Linked DNA regions of Tribolium castaneum. The protein of the gene in region 1 purifies or fractionates together with the protein of each later gene. This does not show direct contact. Links are inferred from orthologs where the notes say so. Each region holds a gene or a part of one and is shown on either strand. Other genes may lie near its edges.

Region 1 (4,313 bases):
TGCAGTCTTGGAACCGCTTCATTATCCACCAACTGCACGTCGAACTTGCCGAAGCCAAAAAGAAAAACACCGAACGAAAAAACAACAAAACGCCGTTTTCGTACAACGTGACCGATTTTCCCGCCATAGACGACCGGAAAAAGTGTTCAGGTTGGAGAAAAAATTTCGTATACAACTCGTGTAATTTTTTAATGTAGCATCAGAAGTTAATGCGAACATGGAGCAGGAGAAGCGCGACAGTGAGAGTGAAATTATCCAATTACTGGGCGCCAAACAAATCCAAAAACACTCGTGTCTCAAGTGCAAACTCGAAGTAAAAAAAGAATCGATTTTACTCGTCTGCAACCTAATCTATCCGACCAATGAACCGGAACGTGACGAATGGAGTTTTTGCGATATTTTAACGCGTTCGCTTTGCTCGCAACAAACCACACCGGCGTGGTGCGAAGAGTGCAAGAAGTTCGCACCGACGCAACAAACACGCGTGCTCCAGGTGGCGCCCTCTCGTAGCGTAGGAGGCGAAACGAGATACACAAAATTTGTGGTCGTTTCGCATCCTAACTTATACTAATCTGTACTTCCCACCAATTGTGTGATTGTAGTCGCTTCCCAAACTCTTGGCCATTAACACGGGCTTGCACAACCCGCAGCATAAGCAGTTTTGGCAAAGTCAGATGGATAAGGTTGTGGCTAAGGTCACGGAAAATGCAGCTCCGCCAACAGCGCCCCAGATTAATAGTCTGAGTTCGTCAAAGCCGTGTCGTTACGGTGACCACTGTTCGCGGCCAGGGTGTCGCTTTAGACACAGTTTTGATAATGTTCCGCCCCCAGCACCTGTTAATAATCCATACTGTAGTAACAATTGGCTGCCGCATTCGATTTCGATTGCGCTCAAAGAGGGCGAGTTGATTATTGAGAAAGTTGAGGATAAGAAGGAAGTTGAGGGGGAAGAGAGGGTTGAAGATGAGTTGTATGATTTAACAGCTGTTGTTTGTTATATTAATGATCCGGCGTCGAGTGAAAAACGTAATATTGTGGCGTTGATTAAAGTACCGGATTCGTATTTGTCGGAGACAACGCAGTCGGAACATAAGTGGTATCTCTTTAATGATTTTAGTATATCGACAGTGTCGATGCAAGAAGCTGTGTGGTTCAGTCTGGACTGGAAGATTCCCTGTATTTTGTACTACTCTTCGAGGGGGATTTTGAAGGCGAAGTCCGAGATTTCCCCGCCGATTTCAAAGGTAATGTACCACTAAAATAATGACTGAATTTAGAACAGTTTTATATGACAATCTTCTTTATGATTTATGACAAACGTCCGGAGTTTTTTTTACGAAATCACTGGCCTTGGTTACATTTTCTTGTCTCGTGTCCTAATTTTAGGTAAATTTTTTGAAAAAAATTTAGTTTTGACCTCAACGAGAGTCAAAGAAGGAACTTTTCGATTAATTTTTCACAAAATTTTGCGAAATAATTACGTTTCTGGCTGAAAAACGTGCTCAAAAATAAGATAATTTCGGCGTCTTTTAGCGAAATCTCGGTAAATAAACTGTGATTTTAACTCTAAAACGTGCTTAAATGCCCAAGAACGGCAAAAATAACATTATTTTTGACCGTTCAAGATATTCGGAAAAAAAATAATAATTAATTTGTTCACTCTGTTTCTGACGAGAAACTTTGAATGTAACCTAAACACGTATTTACTTGCTTGAAAAATATAAAAATAACAAATTTTTCGACCAAGCTTTCCAGGTTTTTGGCTGATTTTTTTAAAAATTTGCTGACAAACGAGCTATATCGCGCGAAATAAGGTAAAATGGTATCAATTTGGATTAAAATTGTTTCGACTTTAAAAAATATGCTCAAAAAATGCAAAATAATACAATTTTCCACCAATTTTGGTGATTTTTCGGCTTACTCTTAATAAAATTTTGCGAAATAATTTCGTTTCTGGCTGAAAAACGTGCTCAAAATAAGATAATTTTGGATCTAAGTTGGTAATTTTCGGTGTTTTTTTGCAAAATCTCGGTTACCAAACTGTGATTTTTACTCTAAAACGTGCTTAAATGCCCAAAAAAAAGGCAGAAATAACATTACTTTTGCTAAAAATTTATTGTTCTTGGATAATAAATGAATCTGGTCGAAATCTAGTTTTCACCAATTTTTACAAAAAAAAACTCCAATAAAAGAATTGGTTTTGGTTTCAAAAACGTATTTAAAAATTTGAAGGAAGCAGAATTTACATAGTTTTCAGAAATTTTGGTTTGTTTCTCAGAAAATTTTAAGACTTAATTCCTTTTACTGGCTGAAACCATTGAAAATATTCGGGAAAAGAAAAGTAGTTTAGTGAGAAACTGAGAACATAATCTAAACATTTGCTTCAAAAACATAAAAATAACATATTTTCCACCACACTTTATAGGTTTTTTGGCTGATTTAAAAAAAAATTTGCTCAAAAACAAGCTAAATCGAGCGAAATAAGATAAAATTATATCAATTTGGATTAAAATTGTTTGTTTTGGCTTTCGAAAATGTGCGTAAACTTTCGAAAAAGGCAAAATAGTACAATTTTCCACCTATTTTGGTGTTTTTTCGGCTTACTCTTAACAAAATTTTGCGAAATAATTGGTTTTCTAGCTGAAAAATTTACTAAAACTCTCGAAAAAGTCAAGTATTATGTAGCGTTAGACTTGACTTGGTGCTTTTTTTCGGTCTTTCCTAGCGAAATTTCGCAGAAAAACTGTGTTTAATAACACTTTTGACGAAAATTTGCTTTGGAAAATGTTCGTAGAACTTATTTCTTGCTCAAAAACGAGTTAAATCCAGTAAAATAAGCAAAATTAAATCATCAAATCAATTTCGACGCAAATTTTCAGCTAAGGGGCTTGAAAAGGTAAGGATATCACTATCACCATTTTATTATTTATGGACTAAAGCAGGTAACATGTCACAAATTTCGTCTTATTTTTGTCTTTTAGACGTTTTTTAATCAAACCTTGTAAAATAAGGGAGAAAACAAAATATTTATATCGAATAAAACCGGCTAGAATAACATAAATTTCGAACGAATTGTTCGTAACAATTTTTTTCATTGGCAACAGTGTTTGTAAAAATATCTGTAAGTAAGGTGTCCGTAAACGTAGTAATTTATTTAAATAGCGATTTGTTTGATTTTCGATTTTTTCATCAAAACTTCTTTCTACACAAACGCTTTTCTAAGAAAAAAAAATTGGAGTCGATTAATATTCGCCATTTATTCGCATCTAAAACGAAGTTCTAGTGGGAGGGGCCAGCCCTTCAAAGCCGGTTTATCGCCTCATTTGTTCCTCGAATGCATAAACTGACCAATAAAAATGTAAAAATTACCTCCTCCCAGTTTATCTAGCGAACAAAAACTGCAACACGATTAAAGGCGTTTGTCATTGGATATTGACGGACCAATGCATTCCCACCGAACGAATAGCAAAGCCAGTAAAAAACTGGCCGTTTAATTATGATTTCTTGTGTTTCCGACAGAGAATGAATTACTTTTCGTTCGTTATTTCGGTTGAGACTAAAGATTAGAAAACACTGAATAAAAATAATTAAAAAAATTCTTTATTTAACCTTGTGAACAGGAAGTCTTCACTGAAGACGCGTGCATAGCCCGCAGTTGGGGCACCTCAGCAATCACTTTCACACCACTAACAGACAACGAATTCCCCAAAAAGGGCGACTTAGTCGCAATGGATGCGGAATTTGTGACACTAAACCAGGAGGAGGCTGAGCTACGTAGTGACGGCAAAATGTCAATGATAAAACCGTCGCAAATGTCCGTTGCGCGAATTACATGCATTCGGGGGTAATAAACAAGAAATTAAAAAAATAAAATAAAATAAAAAATAATTCAGGTCGGGCCCCATGGAGGGCGTCCCTTTCATCGACGACTATATTTCCACGCAGGAACAAGTGGTTGACTACTTGACCAAATTCTCGGGAATCAAACCCGGGGATTTGGACGCCAACTTCAGCTCAAAACACCTGACGACTTTAAAGTCCACGTACACAAAACTGCGCTTTTTGCTCGACAGTGGCGTTATTTTCGTGGGGCATGGGCTCAAGAACGACTTTAGGGTTATTAACTTAGTGGTGCCTCCTGAGCAAGTTGCCGACACTGTGCATTTGTTTCACCTACCTCATCACCGGATGGTGTCGCTGCGTTTCCTCGCGTGGCATTTTTTGGGTAGGGGATTCCCCAAGCTAGTGACAGGAATCACGTGGTTTTGTAGGTGTTAAAATACAGTCGGAAACGCACGATTCGGTCGAAGATG
Region 2 (3,945 bases), on another chromosome or scaffold:
GGAAAATCAGTGACAGGTTTCAAAATTATAATTTAAAATTTATCGATAATTCAGACGTGTGGGAACACGTGTACTCCAGCAATGAAACACACATCAAACATGCAATTGAAGTAAGTAAGAGGTAAGACAGTGTACCCGCCACTGGTTTGACTCATCGTAGTTGTCACCATGACAATCCCCATTCATGTCCTGCTGTATTACCATAGTTACAGCACGTTTCTATGGCAACTGGAGGAGCCATGTGCGACTCGTCAAATAATTTTGTTTTTTCCAGAACATTGAAGAGTGTTTGCAACAGTACGGTTTAGAGAATATCTTCGTGAGTTTCAACGGCGGAAAAGACTGCACCGTTTTGCTCCATTTGGTTTTAACAGTCGTCAAGAAAAAATTTCCTCAACATTCACAACCAATTCCCTGTCTTTACGTCCAAAGTGAAAGTCCCTTTCCCGAGCAAGACGAGTTTATTGACTTGTGCAAATGCTACTATAATTTGAAAATAATGGTCATTAACGCGGGAATCAAGGATGCTTTGGGCCAAACTCTGGAAAAATATCCAAATTTCAAGGCATGCTTTATGGGGACGAGACGAACAGATCCGTACTCAGGCGATTTGACAGTTTTTCAGGTATTTTTCGTCAAGTTTTGAAGGTGTTTTTGAGAATTTGGTTACAGATGACTGATTCCAATTGGCCTCAAATACTCAGAGTTAGTCCGGTCCTGGACTGGCATTATTCCGATATTTGGGATTATTTACTCTTCTATAAAGTACCGTACTGTAAATTGTACGATTTGGGGTTCACCTCGTTGGGGAACACCGTAAATACGAATCGGAATCCCTCTCTTAAGTGCTACGAGCCGTTTGACGAGGGCGAATTTTACTTACCGGCTTATAAATTACTGAAAGAGGTTAAGGAGCGCAATGGACGGAATACGAGTTGATTTTCGGGGAAAAACTAGCTGAATTTATTTCTGGGGGTGGAAATGTAGCAAAATACATAGATCGTACTTTATTATTTATTGTATATGTTGGTTCTGTAGAGTTTATTAATGTTGTTTAATAAAAATGTGAAATTGTGTTTTATTGGTTGTTTTAATTTAAAATTGGCTCCGGTCAGCGCTGCCAACTTGCAATCTACCAACCTGACAAAAGGTGCGTTGTGTTAGCACTATCATATTTGTTTTTTATTTTCCGATTATTATCGTTATCTTTTGCACGGTCTCGCAGGTATTTGTACCTTTTTGCGCCCTTGGTCACATAGTGTGTTTTTGGCAAAATTGGCAACAATTAATTTTTTACATCGCCGACAAGTCAAATCAACACAAACAAAATGGCGATTATTTTCAGCAAATTTTCAGGTGTCAGAAGTAAATAGAAATAATTAATTTCAGTTTTCAGAAAGGGGGTTTTGTGCGCGTTCAGGTTTCTCGACTAAAATGTTTCCATCGCATGGTTTTTACTAGAATTGTGAGCGGGGTCGTTGAGGGGTTACAATATTGTAACGTCTCTTTGTTTCAGGGAATTTAATGGATCATCAGGTTTATTACCGGTTCGCACAAACGAATGGGGTTCCCCAGGAATCTAAACTAGCAAATTACATGGTAAGGTGTTTACGTAACGTTTCAGTTACGGGATTTTCGTTTGTAGAACATTCAAAATTCGAGTGGTAGTTTGCACCAGTCGTTCCAAAGCAAGTTGAGTATCGAACCGAAAAAACCACTAACGAGTCCCCAATGTGTTGGAGGGACAAGTCTGGTGTCCAGTGCTCCAGGTATTGTGTAACAGCTGGTGGCCTTGAAACCCCAACTGTTTTCTTTTTTCCATGACGCTCTTGGACCCATTGACCTCTCCTAATCTAATCATTTGTTTTCAGCTTCACCCAACATTTTCAACTCTTTCACCCCAACGCTAGACCCTTCGCCCATTCGATGCGTTTCTGACCACCCAGAAAATTCCAGTCAATCAGCTTCACCCAATCGCGTCAGCAGCTGTTCACCCATGTCAGATGTAAATAACATAGCTGTTGCGGCATATCAGGTACTCCAGACCAACCGAAAGCCGGTAATACAGGGTCCGCGTGCTTTTAGGAAAATGTGGGCGGGACAACGTACTTTTACCCAACCACCTCGGAAACTTGTCACGCCACTGATGTTGCTGTCAATAGCAACCTCACCTCGGACTACAATGTGTACCCAGGCACCCCTAACCACATCACTTCACTTAAGGCCAAGCAGGGCGCCTCGTTTTTCATATCAAAGGACCTCCAGATGGAGCTGATGAATCGCAACGCCTTGACGCTCATGCAGGCCAATCAGCAGTACGCAGGTGATTGTTTTTACCGACCGTTGTTTTATTCATGGCCAACTAACATCAATTGTCGATGAGCTCCATTATCACATCTTTCGTTTCCAATTCTCCCAACCTAAAAATTCTTATGAGGCGCCATATCTTCATTAACATACGAAGCAAGTAGTAGATTGATTTTATAAATTGTTTTGCAAGTAAAAAAGCTATTATTTTTATGTTCGGTTTTTTAAGTCGTTAATAGGCCTAATCTTATACTAGCTATCTTTTCTCATAATTATCTTTCACCTACGATGGTTATTATTAGGCTCGAAAACGCTCATAAACCAATAAACCTTCACTGAAACATTACTCACAAACGAGAGGTTTTGTTTACTAGATTTTCCCCAAAATTTCCTTTGATATTTCCTTCAAAATTTCTCCTGATTTTTAAAAAATATTTTTCTCAATATTTTCTCTAAATTCTCTTAATTTGGTTAAGATTTCTCCTAATATTTTAAAATACTGTTTTTTTGTCATTTCCTTAAGATTTTCCTTGAATGTTTTTATAATTTTTCGCCTTTTCTCAAGATTTCCCCTAATTTTTGAAAGGATGTCCCGTCATTTCCTCACGATTCTTCTAATTTTTTTTGTTTTTTTATATTGATTTTTGGCGATTTGCTCTGGTTTCTTCTGATTTCCTCAAAAATCCCTGATGATTTTCCGTGATTTTGTCAGGATTTCCTATAATTTTTCTCCCCTCCAGATCGTTATAAAAAATAAATTAGGAATAAATGGAATTTCGAGTTAGACTCCAGTGATTTTGTTTCCTAGTAATTAATGTTATCTTTTTTTAACAAAAAGCAATAATAATAAAAAATAATAATAAAGCAAATCAGCTTTATTTTACATGCAATTTTTTGAAATGTATCAACAGGACGACTTGTGTTCCTAATGTGTCTTTCAATGTCTTCAAATTAATTTGTCAGATTTCAGCAAAGGCTAAAAATCGTTTAAAGTTTCTTAAAAAACATGTTCATTTTTGTAATTTGTTACAACTTTATATAATTTGCATTTTTTCTAAACATCAAGAAACATGAAAATTCAACTAATCAGTTTTTACTCGTATGTGGTATATGTTAATACGTTAATTCAAAACTTATATTAAAATAACGTTCCATATTCATGTCCAAATTTCATTTCTAGAATATTTTTCTCTCTTTTGATCAAGATATTAGTCTCAAAGGAATGTGTACCTGCAAATATTGAATAATAATTTTCCTACAACACTATTCAATTTTAGTGTTTCTATTTGAATGTTTTTGGTCTCTTATATGGTAGACAATATTTTACTGTACAGGGGTGTACACAAGAGATATTCAGTACGCTATAGCACATATTCCAACAAAATCTAGAAAGATAATAAAAATTCTCTAGATTATTCATAACAGCATTAAAAAAGCAAAGAGGGGAATTTTTTCTTTTAATTTTTAAAATTTTTTTAATCGGCGATATAACCAAGAAAAGGACCAGAAAACTAAAAATATCATCTGGTAATAGTTAAATAAAATCCATAGTTGCAACTGGTAACTACTGTACAACAATTGAAATAGATTCGGTGAAAAGACTCAAGTACTGGGTGTTTCAAAACTATAAAAAAATGG

What was found. Proteins that work in one complex are often made in the same cells at the same time.
Region 2: the proteins of PAN2 (region 1) and PAN3 purify together in Homo sapiens (co-immunoprecipitation; 5 studies listed by BioGRID and IntAct, with this or other methods). This does not show direct contact. The link is inferred for Tribolium castaneum from reciprocal best matches to the Homo sapiens genes PAN2 and PAN3.

The regions. Positions count from the first base shown.
Region 1 is NC_087399.1:1,478,125-1,482,437, reverse strand, and holds part of PAN2 (PAN2-PAN3 deadenylation complex catalytic subunit PAN2), read left to right. Parts: intron 1-5; coding exon 6-150; intron 151-197; coding exon 198-493; intron 494-602; coding exon 603-1,244; intron 1,245-3,620; coding exon 3,621-3,844; intron 3,845-3,893; coding exon 3,894-4,225; intron 4,226-4,271; coding exon 4,272-4,313. UniProt on the Homo sapiens protein: Catalytic subunit of the poly(A)-nuclease (PAN) deadenylation complex, one of two cytoplasmic mRNA deadenylases involved in general and miRNA-mediated mRNA turnover.
Region 2 is NC_087394.1:25,733,684-25,737,628, forward strand, and holds the start of PAN3 (PAN2-PAN3 deadenylation complex subunit PAN3), read left to right. Parts: upstream 1-1,132; 5' UTR 1,133-1,150; exon of another isoform or gene 1,151-1,225; intron 1,226-1,389; 5' UTR 1,390-1,465; intron 1,466-1,516; 5' UTR 1,517-1,524; coding exon 1,525-1,599; intron 1,600-1,645; coding exon 1,646-1,769; intron 1,770-1,871; coding exon 1,872-2,035; intron 2,036-2,085; coding exon 2,086-2,323; intron 2,324-3,945. Other genes in the region: FAD synthase, read left to right, coding at 1-110, 275-625, 673-939. UniProt on the Homo sapiens protein: Regulatory subunit of the poly(A)-nuclease (PAN) deadenylation complex, one of two cytoplasmic mRNA deadenylases involved in general and miRNA-mediated mRNA turnover.